Linked DNA regions of Coturnix japonica. The protein of the gene in region 1 purifies or fractionates together with the protein of each later gene. This does not show direct contact. Links are inferred from orthologs where the notes say so. Each region holds a gene or a part of one and is shown on either strand. Other genes may lie near its edges.

What was found. Proteins that work in one complex are often made in the same cells at the same time.
Region 2: the proteins of BCL11A (region 1) and CHD4 purify together in Homo sapiens (affinity purification with mass spectrometry; 5 studies listed by BioGRID, with this or other methods). This does not show direct contact. The link is inferred for Coturnix japonica from reciprocal best matches to the Homo sapiens genes BCL11A and CHD4.

The regions. Positions count from the first base shown.
Region 1 is NC_029518.1:5,614,202-5,618,636, forward strand, and holds the start of BCL11A (B-cell lymphoma/leukemia 11A), read left to right. Parts: upstream 1-1,553; 5' UTR 1,554-1,568; coding exon 1,569-1,917; intron 1,918-2,944; exon of another isoform or gene 2,945-3,248; intron 3,249-4,435. UniProt on the Homo sapiens protein: Transcription factor. Associated with the BAF SWI/SNF chromatin remodeling complex. Binds to the 5'-TGACCA-3' sequence motif in regulatory regions of target genes, including a distal promoter of the HBG1 hemoglobin subunit gamma-1 gene.
Region 2 is NC_029516.1:69,341,479-69,345,121, reverse strand, and holds part of CHD4 (chromodomain-helicase-DNA-binding protein 4), read left to right. Parts: intron 1-2,333; coding exon 2,334-2,455; intron 2,456-2,567; coding exon 2,568-2,741; intron 2,742-3,053; coding exon 3,054-3,195; intron 3,196-3,631; coding exon 3,632-3,643. UniProt on the Homo sapiens protein: ATP-dependent chromatin-remodeling factor that binds and distorts nucleosomal DNA. Acts as a component of the histone deacetylase NuRD complex which participates in the remodeling of chromatin.

The sequences.
Region 1 (4,435 bases):
CTACCCCACGCCCCTCCCGAGGGCAGCCTGCCCGGCGTCCCCCGTCGCTCCCCCCCCCCCCCCCCCCCCCCCGCGCCTCTGGCTTCAGCGATGTATTTACTTTTCCAGCGGGGGTGTGAGAGTGTGCGCGCTGCCGCTACCTTCTTTCTTTCTCCCTCTTTCATTCCCCTTTCCCCTTCCTCCCGTCCTTCTCCCGGGCTCGGGTACCGCTCCCCCCGCCCCCTCCTCCCTCGCCCCGCGGCCACTCGCGCCCGGCCGGCCCCCTCCGCCCTGGCCCCGGGGCCCTCCGGCGGCGTGCGCCCGGCGCGCCCCCTCCCCGCTCCCCCCCGCGGTCCTCGGCCATTGGCTTGTCCTGCTCTCTTTTTCATGTCCAGCCCCCGATGAGTGTCCATTGGTGTTGCCTTCGCCTTCCCTCCTCCCCTCTCCCCGGCTCGCCCTGCCCATGTTTTGTATGTCTCTGTCCATCCAGGCTCCTGACGTTCAAGTTCGCGGGGACGTCACGTCCGCACTTGAACTTGCGGCTCAGGGGGGCTTTTGCCATTTTTTTCATCTCGCTCTCTCTCTCCTTCCCTCTTTCCCTCTCTCTCCCTCTCTCTCTCTCCCTCTCTTTTTTTTTTTCCCCTCGCACAAAAAAAAAAAAAAAAAAAAAAAAAAAAGCCATGACTGCTATCCCACAATTCATCTTCCCTGCGCCATCTTTGTATTATTTCTAATTTATTTTGGATGTCAAAAGACATTGATGAAGATATTTTCTCGGGAGCCTCCTTCCTCCGCAGCCCGGCGCTCCCGATGTGAGCCGCGCGCTCCGCCGCCGCCAGCCCACCATGTCGCGCCGCAAGCAGGGCAAGCCCCAGCACTTAAGCAAGCGGGAATTTTCGCGTAAGTAAAACCGCGGAGCGACTCCCGCGATTCCCCCCGTGGCGGATTTAATTTTCCTTTCGAGCGAGAGCGGGAAGAAAAGAAAGAAAAGTGAGAGGAAGCGAGAGCGAGCGGAGCACCGCCAACTCCCGGCGCCCCGCGATCACGCTCCGCTCATCCCGCCTCGTCCCGCCGCTCCGCGCCCCGGCCCCGCTCCGCAGAGCGCCCCGCGCGGGCGGGCAGCGGCAGCCCGGGGCAGCGCGGCCGGGAAGGCGGTGGGAGCCGGGTGGGAGCCGGGTGGGAGCCGGGTGGGAGCCGGGCGAGAGCGGCGCGGTGAGAAAAGTCCTGCGAGCGCAGCCCGCCGCTCCCCGCCGCTCGCGTCTTCGCACCCTCCGCGGGGCCGGGGGGCTCGGGCGTGCGGGCGGCTCGGGCCCGGCCGCCTTTTGTTTCCGTGGCGGGGATGCGGGCCGGACCGGCTCCGACCGCCCCGGGGGCCCCGCCGCCCCACCTTCCCCCCTCCGCGTCCCCGGCCCCGGCTCCGGCTCCGGCTCCGGCTGGGGCGGGGGGCGGCCCCGGGCGGGCGGCCGTGGCGCGCCGAGAGGGATTCCCTCCTCGCCCTCGGCTCGTCTGCATCGCTCAGTTACTATTTTTTGGAAGATTTTCAAAAAAAAGTGGAAGTGGATTTTGATTGGGAAAAATCTCGTGTCTGAATGTTTACAAGCGCCGCGTGTGCGGGAAGCCTCCTGCCAACAAACACAGACAAGAGCGAGCCCGGGCTGAGCGCACAGCACACACGCACTCGCTCTCGCACTCTCGCACAGCCTCGAGCCCCGCGCCCGCGTTTAAGCCCCAAACCCAACGCGATCTCCCCGGGAGAGAGAAGCCGCAGCCCGGTCCCGGAGCGCCGCTCGCCGCGGAACCGCCGCTCTCCGGTAGCGGCACCGCGCTCCGGGCGGGACACGGTGAGCGGACAGCTCAGCGTACAACAAAGGGCACCTCGGGCTGCAGAGAGATGCGGGGCGAGGGGGAGGAAGGGACAGAAAATCCCCTTTTTCTCGGGTGAGCGGGCAGAAGGGGAAACGATAAACGCTACTCGTAGGTGCTTGGTTTTTTTTCGGTTTTTGTTTTTTTTCTTTGTTTTGTTTTTTTTTTGGTATTTTTTTTTCTTTCATTTCTTCCCATCTCTTTTCCCCATTATCCTCAGAGAGTGCTGCTCCCTCCCAGGGTCGGCTCAGGACCCGGCGCGATGCGTTCATTCCCCGCTCACGCTTTGCACAACTTTCCGAGCCTTCTTTCCTTCCCTCCCTCGCTCCCTCCCACCGCTCTCCGCACGTTCCCGCACGCGTTCCCTCTGCACTACGCCGCCGCTCGGCTCTGGCTCCTGGGGACGCCTCTCTCGAGGCGGGGGCCGCGACGCCGGCCGACCCGCAGCGCCGTCCCGGAGGGGCCGCCCCGTTCAGCTCGGCCCGGGCGACGGAGGGTCGCGTAGCCGGGCGCGGTGCGGGGCGGCCGCGGTGTTTCCTCACGTGTGCGGCCCCGGGGCCGGGCCTGGGGCGGGAGCGGGACCGGAGGAGCGGGACCCGGGAGCCGGGCGGGCGGGATGCGGCGGGCGGGATGTGCCGGGCGGTCGCTAGGAGGCACACCGACATCAAAAACCCCGCCGGCAGCGGACTTGAACCTGGCCGGTCCTTTGCGCCCGCAGCGCGGCCCAGGCTGGGGGGGAGGGAGGGCGCGCCGCCGGCCCCTTCCCTTCCTCTCGTTTCCCTGCCGGCCCCTCTCCCCTCGCCTTTGTTCTTCTTTTCGGCCGCTGCCGGCAGCGCGCCCGCCGCAGCTGCCCCCGGCCAGAACTCCCCGCAGCCCCCCGCGCCCCCCCGGCCGGCCGGACTCATTTTTATTTCAAATCGTTCTTATTTTTGGTGGGGGTGGGTGGCAACTTTTGCTCGGAGTTTGGCCCCGCTCGGCTCCCTTCCCCCGGGCCCCCCGGTGCCGCCGCGCTTCGCCCCCAGCTTCGGGCCACGAGCTCCGGCCGCACTTGGAGCAAAGTTGGCACGAGGCAACCACCTTTCCCCCCCCACAGCCCTGAAGCTCTCCTTTTTACGCTCCTGAGCCGGGCCGAGCCGAACCGGCCTCGGTCCGTCTGCGCGCCGCTCCCCTTCTCGCCTTTCTCGGGCAGGCGAAAATCAGCGCGGGTCCCCGCAGCCGGCGGGGGGAGATCGCGGTGCCTGGGGACGGGGAAGAAGGAGGGAGCAGGAGGGCGAGGAGGAGCGGAGAGACATGTCCATGGCAGAGCAATTTGCATTAAAAACAGGGACGAGTGATTAGGTGCCTAGGCAGGGAATTCAGCGTGCACAAAAACTAAAGGACGAACCCGGCAGCTCGGGGTATACCAGGTGAATTGTGGATTCGGGCTTTCTTTGGAGACCTGTTTTGTTGTTTGTTGGGTTTTTTTTCCTCCTTTTTTTTTCTGAGAGAGTACTAAGAACACGGCCGTGTTCTGCTGGCTCTGCCCAGTGTTGTGTGAGGAGTGCGGTGCCAGCCGTATTTCATACATTACTATATAATTCTCGTTAATTAGCAATAATTTACATTAAGAGCATAGAAAATGTTGAGGTTACGGGTTTTATATCTGTACATTTGATCATCTTGTTATTTTCAAGAACTTTGCCTCCTATAAAATTAATTAGGTGAAATGTGGAGGTGTAATCAGCAACCTCTGAATTACCACTTCATTTCCTGGGTTTGATTGTAAATCAGCCCCGGCAGAGAAGACTTTAGCAAAGTCTATTGTTGTTTAGCACTACTTTTAACTGTCTGGTGTCTCAGCACAACGTTTCCTTCCCCTGCTAAATAACACTGAGGCTTCAGAAATAAATCAGGCCGAGGGAAAACCTTGTAATTGAGGAATGGCTGCAGAGTTCCTCGCTGAGTGAGCTGCAGAGGGAACGCTGTTTATTTTGTGTGTTCCGCTGTGCACTTTTGGTGAGGTAGAAGTTGGATTTACAGCTCAGCCGCAATACCTTTGTCTCTGCTCTGCTCAGCGAGCTCCGGGAGGAATTAGCCCTGTGCTGCTTTGCTCCCTCTGTCCAAAGACAGGGGATGGCTGGGGAGAAAAATGGCATTCAGCAATCCTGCAGCCCATCCCGCTGCCCTCGGGTGCCAGGAATGCAGCCGCTTGCTCTCCGCGTGGGGAGGGAAAGCAGGTGATTGAGACATTGCTTTTGTCACTCTGAATGTAACCTTCATCCTCCCGTGGTTGACCTTCTGTTAAATGAGAAGTGGTACCAGAGGCAAGAGCTGCTGGGCTGCATCCCCGTGCCCTACTTGGAGCCGAGGTACGGGTGGCTGCCTGCTCTCTCTATATGATTTCATGCAGCACAACTGGGAGCTACTCTAGATCTTCCTCCCCAGTATTCAGCCTAGGCAGGGCTGAAATAAATTTGACCTGAGTTCACACGATTTTTGCACTTTATCAAAATCAGTTCCAATATCATGCAGCCAAATTAAAATCTATTTTTTGATTCTCTGTGGCTTTAAGTTCATTAAACGTGAAATTGGCAGCTAGCTAAAGAAGGTCAGA
Region 2 (3,643 bases), on another chromosome or scaffold:
TCAATAGTATGTTTCATTAGTAAAAATAACTTCCCCTCTGGGTGAACAGGCAATTGATGTATACTAGAAAACAGAAAAACCTGGGTGTTGCCATTCTCGGAAATGGGCTTCTCTGGAAGTAGGACACATCTAGATCACCTCTGTTCTGAAAGGGCTAATCATATTGAGTATAGAGAAAGCTGCATGGGTTGCAGTTATTCTGCTTCCAGAGGAATCTTGCCTTCTGCATTCTTCTAGCTCTGTAACACAGCTAATTAGATGTTACAGAAATGGGAGAAGTGGGCAGGAGTGTTGAACAATGCCTGGGTAAATGCTGAAAGCCATACAGCTGTTTTCATATGAGGCTGCACCTTTACCAGGCTTGTTTTAATTCAGTAGAATTGACTGTACTTTCTTAATCCAACTCCTCCCTAAGCTCTTGTGTTTTAAATCTGTATTGATTGTCTGTCTTCAGCTACGTTCTAGGGCTTAGTACGCTAAAAGCAGCTGCTAATGAAAATCTGTTTTTTTTAGTTTCTTGCAGATTGTAAGACTAAGTTGCCTCTGTGTAGGGGATGAGAGGGGAACGGGAAGGAGAAAATTTAGCTTTAGCTCTTCAGATCTGAGTGTGGTATCTTGTGATATCTCTTATCAGCTGTGCTTGCAGTCCAGTTTTGAGATATTTTTACTGTAGGCACTGAGATTAGGTGCTGTTCTGTGCTTAGAATTGGAATTACTGGGAGCAGTACCAAATGCTTACTGTTCATACTCATTTTCATGAACTAAAAGAGGATATAAAGGCTCGGTGCTACACTATGGCTAAGAAACAATGGTTATCCACCAAGACAGTTAAATTTACCTTTTTCTAGAGGAGTTTTTTATCCCTTAAGGACAGCTTTAGGTATTTGTATGCAAGACAGCTCTTGGCAGTGTTGGTTATCTGCCAAATAGTGTTTTTTGCAGTTACAGTGAGTAATTCCCATATTTTATTCCAAGATAAGAATGTTGTTGGCTATAACTACATAGAACAATTCTAATGGAAGGCACTAGAAGAAATCCTTCTGGTATGATAAACCAAAATAAGTGGTAGTATATTTCTTCTAATATTTGTCACCTAGTACGAGAGCTGCTCCAAAAGTAATGCCTCCTATTTTATTATGTTGGCCCATGACATTAAATGTGGATCTTAATGATATGACAGTAGAGGTTTAATCATCTACCAGTATTGATAGATTTTGTTGCTGTGCGGCAGATGGAAGCAAAGGAGTAGTCTGACAAAATGGCACCTGACATGAAAGAGCATTTGAAGCAAAGGTGTTGCTGAATTCCTCCACGTGGACAAAATGGCACCCATTGACATCCACTGATGCTTGCTGAATGCTGAGCAGTGGATGTGAGCACAGTGAGGCAGAGGGTAGCATGTTTCAGTGCTGGTGACAGTGATGTTGAAGACAAGCCACATTCTAGACAGCCACGTACTGCTGGCAAAATGAGTGTGGAGTGCAGGTTTTTGTTCATCACTGGTGAAAATGCGTAGCTAATGGTGGTGACTAACATGGAAAAAAAATAGCATTTGGAAGCTAAGAACTTGCTCTGTAAAATAATACCGTTGTGCTCTTTGTATCTGTTGTAGTTTCCATGGAAATAAATAGGAGGCGTTACTTCTGGAGCAACCTACATACAAGCTACTCTCATTCAGTTTGACATTGTGTCGTGTTAAGTATAAAAAATAAGTCCATAAATAAATTACTACTTTATTGTCACTTTGTGCTAGTGAACATTGTATACTTGTGCTTTTCAGTTCAGTACCATAACTGCTCGCTGGCTTTGTCTAGAATTACTTCATTGTTGTGAGAGCTAGCACAAATTACTTTAAGGATATATTGGCAAACCCTTGACTCTCTCTCCTCTGCTTGTTCAGAACTCTGGAATGCTGCCAGAATTGATATGAATAGGAAGAGTGACTTAGTTATTTCTAGAAGTCTTGAGGCAGAGAAGTAAAAATGTAGAATGCTAATTTAGGAGGAAAAGTACATAGTATAGCAATGTGGAAATGATCATTGGTTTGAAAGCTTGTAACTTAAAAAAAGGAACCTTTTAGTACCTGGTGACTTATAGGACCTGTCACAGTCATGTTTCAATTATGCAGAACAGTGATGCGAATGAGATCAGTCTAGTGATGCAGATTGGAATGGCAACTACTAGGAGCACTTGTCCAAATAGCTGATGGGGAATCTAAATCAAACTGTAGCTTGCTTTTTTTTTTTTTTTTTAAGGGTATTTTTTAGTAGGACTATGACTTCTTTGCTCATGTTGGGTTTTTTTTCATTCCTTCCCTGCTCTCTACTTTACAGTTTTTCCGTGTGCTGAATGGTTATTCCCTCCAGCATAAGCTGCTGCTTACTGGGACTCCGCTCCAGAACAACCTGGAAGAGCTCTTCCACCTGCTCAACTTCCTGACACCAGAGAGATTCCAGTAAGCCTTGCAATGAAAATCCAGGCCAAACTTGCCTGTCTTGTCACTCCTATCCCCCTGGTTTTGTTTGGGTTTTTGTGGTGGCTTTTGCTTAGTGTCTGTTTCTCCACAGTAACTTGGAGGGCTTCTTAGAAGAGTTTGCAGATATTGCCAAGGAAGATCAGATCAAGAAGCTACACGACATGCTGGGCCCACACATGCTGAGACGCCTCAAAGCCGATGTTTTCAAGAACATGCCATCTAAGACTGAGCTTATTGTCAGAGTGGAGTTGAGTCCTATGCAGAAGTGAGTGTGAGGCTGGAGTGATCACCAGCTGTTGAACTACTTCTGTTTTGTTCTGCAGTTCCAAAGAGGGTGTTGAAGTAGACTCATCCTCACTGTAGGGCTTTCTGCACAGTGGATGGGAGGGAGATTTTGAGTCCCCACAGAGGGGAGGAGTAATCCTGTAATAGAGGGATGAAAAGAATAGTAACTGCCACTGGCAGAGCAGTCTAGGTAGCTGACAGGTAATGCCAGGAACCGTTCAGACATGAGCAAGTGTATGTTAGTTATTCCTGTGAGAGGTGTTTGAGTTTTTGTTTTCTTTGTTATTTTCAGGAAATACTATAAATATATTTTGACACGGAACTTTGAGGCACTGAATGCACGTGGTGGTGGTAACCAAGTTTCATTACTCAACGTTGTTATGGATCTGAAGAAGTGCTGTAACCACCCCTACCTCTTTCCTGTGGCTGCTATGGTATGTCCTGCTGCTGACTTATTCTTACGTAGATGAATTCCCAGCTGGCTGCTACTGGGGAGCCATTGAGCTCCCTGTGAAGTTTAGGAGACATTCTCTTTTCTGTTCTTATGCTTCTGTCTATTTTTGTTTTTCTTTGTGTTAATCTTGTGAACTGGAAGTCCTCTCCTTTTCCAGTATCTTTATTTTTTGAGTTGGAGTTATCTTGTGACCTATGCAGAATGGTGGAGACAGAGTAGGGACTGAATTAGGAAGAGGATATCTAGGAGATGAACAGAGAAAATGCGTGGGGTAATGCTGTTTTGTATGAGCAGTGCTACGCATTGCATCCAGTTAACTCGAGCGAGTCAGCTTCTGATGAACACAGGAAAGAACTAATGTCAAGGTACATATGTATTCTAACAGTTTTCTTTCCTGCCCCACTCTTTCTTTTCAGGAAGCTCCAAAA